Linked DNA regions of Arabidopsis thaliana. The protein of the gene in region 2 interacts with the protein of the main gene of each other region in a biochemical or structural test. Each region holds a gene or a part of one and is shown on either strand. Other genes may lie near its edges.

Region 1 (3,755 bases), on a different chromosome or scaffold from region 2:
CGTTATATGCTTCTTCGTAAACTTCAGGTGCCATGAACTCAGGAGTCCCTAACAAAAGATCAAAACTTTACACAATCAGAAACAAAGAAACTCAGCTAAAAAGCAGAAAGGATATGATTTGGATTTGCATATAGTACCGACGCAGTGAGCAGCATGGGACTTTCTTAAAATAGCAGCAAGGCCAAGATCTCCAATCTTGACCTCTCCTTGATTCCCGTTAACGAAAATGTTGTCACATTTGAGATCCCTGTGGATCACAGGAGGATCATGGCTGTGAAGATAATGTAAGCCTCTCAAGATTTGTCTGCACCAATGCTTCATAGCTCTTATGTTCACTCTCTTATGTCTGAGTCTATATCTGTATCCATAAATGAAGTTATCGTTAAAGATAAACTAAAACCAACGACAGAAAAGTATGTTTACAAGAGAATCTTACTGTCTTAAGGTGCCAGAAGTGAACAATTCAGTGACGAAATTGATATTTCGATTGGCGGTATCGACCCAAGAAGTGTAGAATTTCATGATGTTCTTATGTTTTAGAGTCTTGAGAAGATGAATCTCACAGTAAAGCCTCTCAAGATCCTCAGGGCTTTGTAGGAAATCATATAGCTTAACTTGGTTCCATGCTACTTCTATGCCTTCATATTCATCAAATGCTCTATAACTACAAAATCAAAAGAAAGAAAGAAGATTAATGTATGTATGAGCAAAGAAGTTTTTTTGTTTGCAGAATCTGAATTTGGTATAAGTCAAAGCAATAAAGAGATCCAAAAAAAGCAAAGTTGTTGGAAATTTCTCTTGTGGGGAATTAATGACCAAACTAGAAGTGATTCAATGAAGCAAAAAAAAACAAAAGCTCAACTTTTTTATTTCCTCTTTTAAAGGATTTGATTCAATCATGAATCCAAAACACACAAAAATCGTAAGGACAAATTTGTTGGATCACAAATGGGTTTTGACTGGGAAAACAAAAAGTTACAAACTTTATGAAGAAAGAACAACAGATTAGGCTTAAATCATCACCAGATCCAGAAGAAAAAAAAGCTGCAAACTTTGAGAGAAACATGAAGCAGAAAAAGAAGAGAAGAAGGGAGAGATTCTCACACAGTCTTTGAAGCTCCTTTACCAAGAACTTCATTGTACTGCAACAACAAGAACAATGAAGTCAACAAAAGATCAAACAAAATAATTGAGATTGATTGATTGATAGGAGGAAACATTACTCTTCCATATCTTCCAGTAGGATCAACTTCAACAAACTCAGAGTAATCTGGTTCAAGATAACTCAGATTGTTCATCTCTCTTTCAATCTCACAATTACGAACCAAATAAAAAAATCCCAAAAGGAAAAATAAGAATAGATCTACCAATACAAACGTCTCTCTTTTAATAAATGGGAGAGAGTTTAGGTTTCTTCTTATAGCAATTTCTGCATAATCATATTATTGTTTTTGTTCTTCTCTGACAAAAGGAGTTGAACAGGGCAATGAAACTCATGTAGTAGATAAGAACAGTATCTGTATAGACTCTCTCATTATTACATTCTAATAAATACTCAAACTCTATAGAGAGAGAGAGAAAAGGAGGATTTGAGCTTAGAAGACAGAGAAGCCAAGCTTTTCTCTCTTCAATAGTTCAATGGAAGTTTTTTTTTTTTGGTTGATGACAGAGAAATACAAGCACCTCGTGAGAGAAGACAAAGACGGTGTGCGTTTCTTTAGGGAACGGTGGTCCAAAAATGGGATATAAACTAAACAAATATCTATCCTTCATTTTTTTTCTTCTTCTTCTTATGGAACCTTTTTTTTGTTCCTTAAACCTTTTTACATACTTCTAAATAATTGCAACGGATTTTATTTTATACGGTATATATAATTAGTGTCCTCTATCGACAATTATTTATTGGAAATTATTCTGTGGTAGTATTAACAATTGTTCGGTGGAAAAGTAACTTGAATACTTGAAAATTATGATTGATTCATTTTAGTGATTATTCTATACAAATTCACAAGCTAGAGAAAACAAAAATGTTACTATTACTTTACCTTTCTTTTGTTTTGATTTTAGTTTTGTTTTGTTATACACAAAGATGATGCTTGCAAATAGTAATAATTCCATTAGCCGACGGAGTATTGTTGTGAAATAAATGTTGAACCTACCAAAATAATGAATCTCATCGAGATAACGTGCCGAAAAAAAATTCTCCCTACCGGCTAAACTGTGTGATATGATTAACAAATTACTACATTTAGAACCATATTCTGATAAAGGTTTAGTTTATGTCATTAAAAACTTCGACTGGTTTTCATTTCAATTAGAACAATCAACATTCAAAACAAATTATATATGAATATTGGGTTGCCTCGTGTGGATGTGATCGTGTCAGGTCTCAGCTATCTTAGAAAAGGAAATAGAAAGGTGCTCTCTCGTACGTATCTTTTGAGTGATGGGAATGATAGACTGTTCCATACGTTTATTCCATTGTGCGGATTGCATTTGTATTAGCGTATATGCCATCATCATTTCAACTATATAATTGATATTCTAGTATTTTGAAATGATCATCGTTCGTTTGAATAAATCAAAGGATATGATCATTGTTCTATGATTACGTTCATTGGTGGGGAATGGTATCATCCCCTAATGCACTACGAATTTGACCATATTTTAGGTAAAGTTACTTTTTTTTTTAGAAAGATTTTAGATATAAAGTTTTGAATATTGTTTGCTGACATGCTTTTTGTGTTGATTTTACATACTAAAATATTAGCTACAACATTTTTAATCTGAATTATAGTATCCGTCTTATATTTTGGTTTCATATACGCTATTGGAAAATTAATTTTTAGAAAAAGGTAAAAAAAAACTGGAACCAAAATTTTGATTAGACGACATTCATCTAAAAAGAAAATCATTATAACGAATCATTGCAATCGCTATAACATATACAACTACATCGTAACGACTAGTCTACTTCTTCTACCATCAAACAACAATGCTATATAACTAACTCATGTTTTCGTTTTTGTTACAAATAACTAACTAAATGTTACCAATAGAAGCTTGGAAATAAAAACACAAAATTTAAGAATTCTGAAATGGATTGGAGACAGCGAGACCATACATTAGCATGTCGACTAGATGTTCCAAAGGAGGCAACAAAGGTTAGTTTGGCCACGTGTTAAGTTAAAGTTGCTCGTGTTATCTATCTTGAGTCTTGACCATACATCATTTCATTTACACGACAATCCATCAACATAATTTACATATCGTACAGTGAACAGGAATCATGTGCAATATGACTAACTATAATCAAGTCTGATTTAATTCAGGGTATAAATATTTGATTTATCATAATATTTGGAAATAAACAGATTGATGGGGGCCAATCTTATATTAGAGAAAGAACACACATGTGCATGTGGGTGAATACAAAGACATGCACGATCAGCATAGCCTTTTAAACGAAAAAAAAAGAAGCAAATAAAGACTTGGTTGGTTGTGAATAATGAATCAGACCAACCACAAATCTTATCCATTTGGCCTTTTCCTCTCACACCATTTTACTTTACCATAAAGTTTTTTTGTTTGATAGATGTTAATTTTCTATTCTTATTTAATGTTAATGCAAGTAACTGTGAATATCATTTGTATTTTACACTAATTTTTTTTTAATACTAAACTAGGTAGAACGAGGTATCAAACCGAATTTGATAAACTATCATCTAGAAAGAGATATACGTAGAGAACAACCA
Region 2 (3,755 bases):
TGCGTTCTTACCTATTTGTTCCTTCTGATCTTCAGCCTCCTTCAGTCTATTAACATGTGCACATCCATTTTCATAGGTTCCTTTCTTGTTGGGTGCATCGGGAAATTGATTTGAAGGCGAGGTGCTCTTAGTATCACTGGCTCTTTTTGTCCAAGAACTCTACATATTTTTATAAATGCAAAACCAATCAAAAATTTATAAACCGATTTATTCAGACATTGTTATTATCTATAGCCATAGAACAGATTACCTGAGTTCCACTCCCGTTATCACTCCCACCATCTTGGTTACTCAAACCACCACTACTCCCACTTTCATTCCTGTGTTCATCACTGATGCTGGCATCATTTTCTGACCCTTGGGTGCTTTCAGGTTTCACCGACTTCTTGTCATGTATTCCACTCTCACTTCCGCTTCCGCTAGACTGGTAAATCAATAAACGCATAAGTAAGAAAAAAACACAGAGTAACTTTTGTAAAACAGGTAACCAAATCAGAACTCTTACGCTGTGACATCTTCTCCAGACATGTTGCCAAAGATTCTTTAGTTCGTTCTTTCTAATGGGTTTCACGAGAAAATCAACAGCACCATTCGACAAACACTTAAAGACCAGAACCATAGAATCATGTGATGACATCACTACAAAAAGAAACATCACATCTTGAGTTACACAAACTGAGCATGGCATATTGAAGCTGGATAAACAAAAATTTAATCAAGGATTTGAGTAAATACTTATGACGGGGATGTTCTTAAGTGTCTTATGGCTCATAATCTTGGACAGCAGACCGGTTCCTGAATGCACAGGCATGTCAACCTCTGTTAAGACAAGATCAATGCAACTTTTCTCATCTTCTAGAATTCTCCAGGCTTCAAGGACATCCGGAACAGCAGTAACTGACAAAAAGTTTCCAAATTTACAACTGTTAGTCAAAAGCAAAAATGTGATTGCTAAACAAGGATGATCAATTCAATATAAGAAAACCTTCATAGCTGCAATTCTTTAAAAGGGCAGTAACAATATGGCGTGTTGAGTCATCATTCTCCACCAGAAGAACCTTAAGCGATCTAACTGGGAGATACCTCTCCCACTTCACAACATGAGCTAGCGGTTGCTGCTGTTGTTGAGAAATCTGTACATTGTTGGTATTTCTAGCAGTATCTTCAACTCGAAATTCATCTTCTTCAGATGAACCAAACACTTGCCTCTCGGTTTCCACTTCATCACCAGTTTCAATGTTATTAAAACACATTTTTAGAATACTAATATCTCATGAAAGTGTCAAGACCAGCCTCCATGAACAAGATAGAATAGAAGCAGCATCAAGTAACAGCTAAGATTCTGCAGAAACTTCCCCTCTACACTGACATAACACTTGCACATTTCTTCTTTCCCCAAACTTATTCTAATCCCTTCACCAAAACCTCAGCCCAATAAGAAACGAGAAACAAAAAAAAAAGCAACATTCCGTAAGAAGATCACAGTCTCACACCAGAACCAAAAAATAAAAAACTGAATTTGGATAAATCATCAAACTTGTCCAAAGAAAAACTAAACAAGCCAAATCAAATTTCAATAGTAGCACACACTCAGCTTTAGAAAACAATCTGAAACTTGTTGTTTCTAAAATCAAAAGCTATCAATGTTCCAATGGAAAATTATCACAGTACTTGGTAAGTAGTTAACAAACTTTGAACACAGTTTCTTTTATTCATTAGATGATTGTAAAGATCTCCTACTTTCTCAAATTTCTTATAAACTCTACAGAACCAGATACAAAATCAAACTCTAAGGCTCTAAGCTATAATACTTAATGAAATAAGCACAAAATTCAAACAGCAGCAGATTGTAAAAGCGACAAGACAAACAAAAGCAAACCTTTTTCACATAATCCATTGATGAACACCACCACCACCAGAATCTCTCACCATATCTGACTTGAAAAACCAAATTACAACCAAAAAAGAACAGATTTTTGCTTAATCTGATTTGCTTAGCATTTAATCACCTAATCATTCAAAAATGTTTTGATTCGTATCTATTTTTCTTTTACCAACAACTTTACAGAACCAAATTGCTACTAAAATAGAATAAAAAGAAAGAAAATTTAAAAAACTTGATAGAGAATCAGAGGAAGAGAAGACTGGGATTTTTTGGGAGGTGGTAGAACAAAAAGGTCAGAGAAGATATTATTTTGGAGTTTGATGACGTGGCAGAACTAACCTACGTGTCAAGTAGGACCAGATAAATTTACGCATGCTGAGATTAGTGACGTGGACAAAATCAAAAGCTTGGACTGCGAGGGGTTGGTTTAGACTTTAGAGATTATCGACATGTTAAATTATTGTCGATTTACAACAAAACAAATTACATATTTCCATTTGTTTCAGATAGATTATTATTATCTTCACACACCAAAAAAAGATAGATTAAAATCATGACAGTTACGAAAATGCAAAGAAAAAAGGAAAATTGACAAAACAAAAAGGAAACTCCACCAAATAAGTTTCCTTTTCCTTTTCCTAGTAGTAATCCGAGTTGTGTAATTGTAACTAGAAAAACAAAAGCCCTAACTTTTCTATAAATACTCTACGCATCACCACAGATCTCTCATTCACAAGTCTCTCATACTTCTCCCAAATCACACAAACTGATTAAACCCTTTTCTAGAGAAATTTCTGTAGATCATCAAGAGATTTATCAATGGCAGTCGCTGATAATCCCTTTTCAATGTCGACCATGTTCAATGCTTTACCAAACCCTAAAGGAATCTCCGGTTCCATTCCTCCTCCTGGATTCGCCCCACGCGCCTCCGCCACGCCCTTGCACGCAGCTCTGTTCAACCTAATGACTGACGGCGATGGTGTGTCTTACTTTAAAGAGATGATCTCAAATTCAGACAAAACAGAGCTTCAGAGGATGGCCTCGTTGCTTACGTCTGACTCCGATTACTTCATGTCGATCGTCACAACCAAGTTCGGCTCGAGACGCGTGCAGAAGCTCCTCGGCAAATCAGATGACGTGGACGCCTTCTTCTGTGCCGCTATCTTGCGCCGCTTCCTCCACATCACGACCGACAAATACGCATCCTACGTGACGATACGAGCCATGGTCGTTTTCGACAAGGTGATGAAAAAGGCATTGTACGAGCGCATTCTCTACCACGCTCTCGACCTAGCGTGTGACCAGCACGGCTGCATCGCGCTCAATGATATCATAACCGACGCTGACGATCCTTACTACAGAGATCAGCTACTAGAATTGGTCGCATCCAACGCTCTCCGGCTAAGCAACGATGCTTCAGGGAACTTTGTGGTCCAACATGTGCTTACACTGTATGACTCGCGTTGCATTCACAACATCGCCGTTAATCTTTATGGTCAGTGCATTGAGCTATCGTTTAAGAAGTATGGAAGCTACATCGTGGAGAAGCTTTTGGAGGTGGAGGAGTCAATGGTTGTGGTGGTTGTGGAGCTTTTGGGTTGCGATGGAGACAGGTTGATGAGGCTGGCGAGGAATGAGTTTGGGAATTTCGTGGTGGTCAAGGCTCTGAGATTCACCAAGATGTCTAGGATGGATCTGTTTTGGGGTTTGGTGCAGAAGCTCATGCCTTTTATCCGTCTCTTGCGTAGATCTCACGGAAGCAACATTGCAAACATCTTGGACTCATTTAGGCTTCGTTGCTGATTATAACTCTGTGTTTATTTTTCAAACCAGCTTACAATAGTTTAATTGTTCCGGTGTTCAATGTAGT

The links. The genes of interacting proteins can lie anywhere in the genome.
Region 1: of the proteins of PRR3 (region 2) and WNK1, one has a biochemical effect on the other in vitro, tested with the Arabidopsis thaliana proteins (2 studies listed by BioGRID, with this or other methods).

The regions. Positions count from the first base shown.
Region 1 is NC_003074.8:1,352,627-1,356,381, reverse strand, and holds the start of WNK1 (with no lysine (K) kinase 1), read right to left. Parts: upstream 1,847-3,755; 5' UTR 1,299-1,846; coding exon 1,224-1,298; intron 1,143-1,223; coding exon 1,105-1,142; intron 665-1,104; coding exon 437-664; exon of another isoform or gene 359-436; coding exon 138-358; intron 49-137; coding exon 1-48. UniProt on the Arabidopsis thaliana protein: Regulates flowering time by modulating the photoperiod pathway. Phosphorylates APRR3.
Region 2 is NC_003076.8:24,199,250-24,203,004, forward strand, and holds the start of PRR3 (pseudo-response regulator 3), read right to left. Parts: upstream 2,116-3,755; 5' UTR 1,880-2,115; exon of another isoform or gene 1,414-1,879; 5' UTR 1,254-1,413; coding exon 986-1,253; intron 898-985; coding exon 736-897; intron 640-735; coding exon 251-639; intron 160-250; coding exon 12-159; intron 1-11. Other genes in the region: PUM18 (pumilio 18), read left to right, coding at 2,705-3,688. UniProt on the Arabidopsis thaliana protein: Controls photoperiodic flowering response. Component of the circadian clock. Controls the degradation of APRR1/TOC1 by the SCF(ZTL) complex. Expression of several members of the ARR-like family is controlled by circadian rhythm.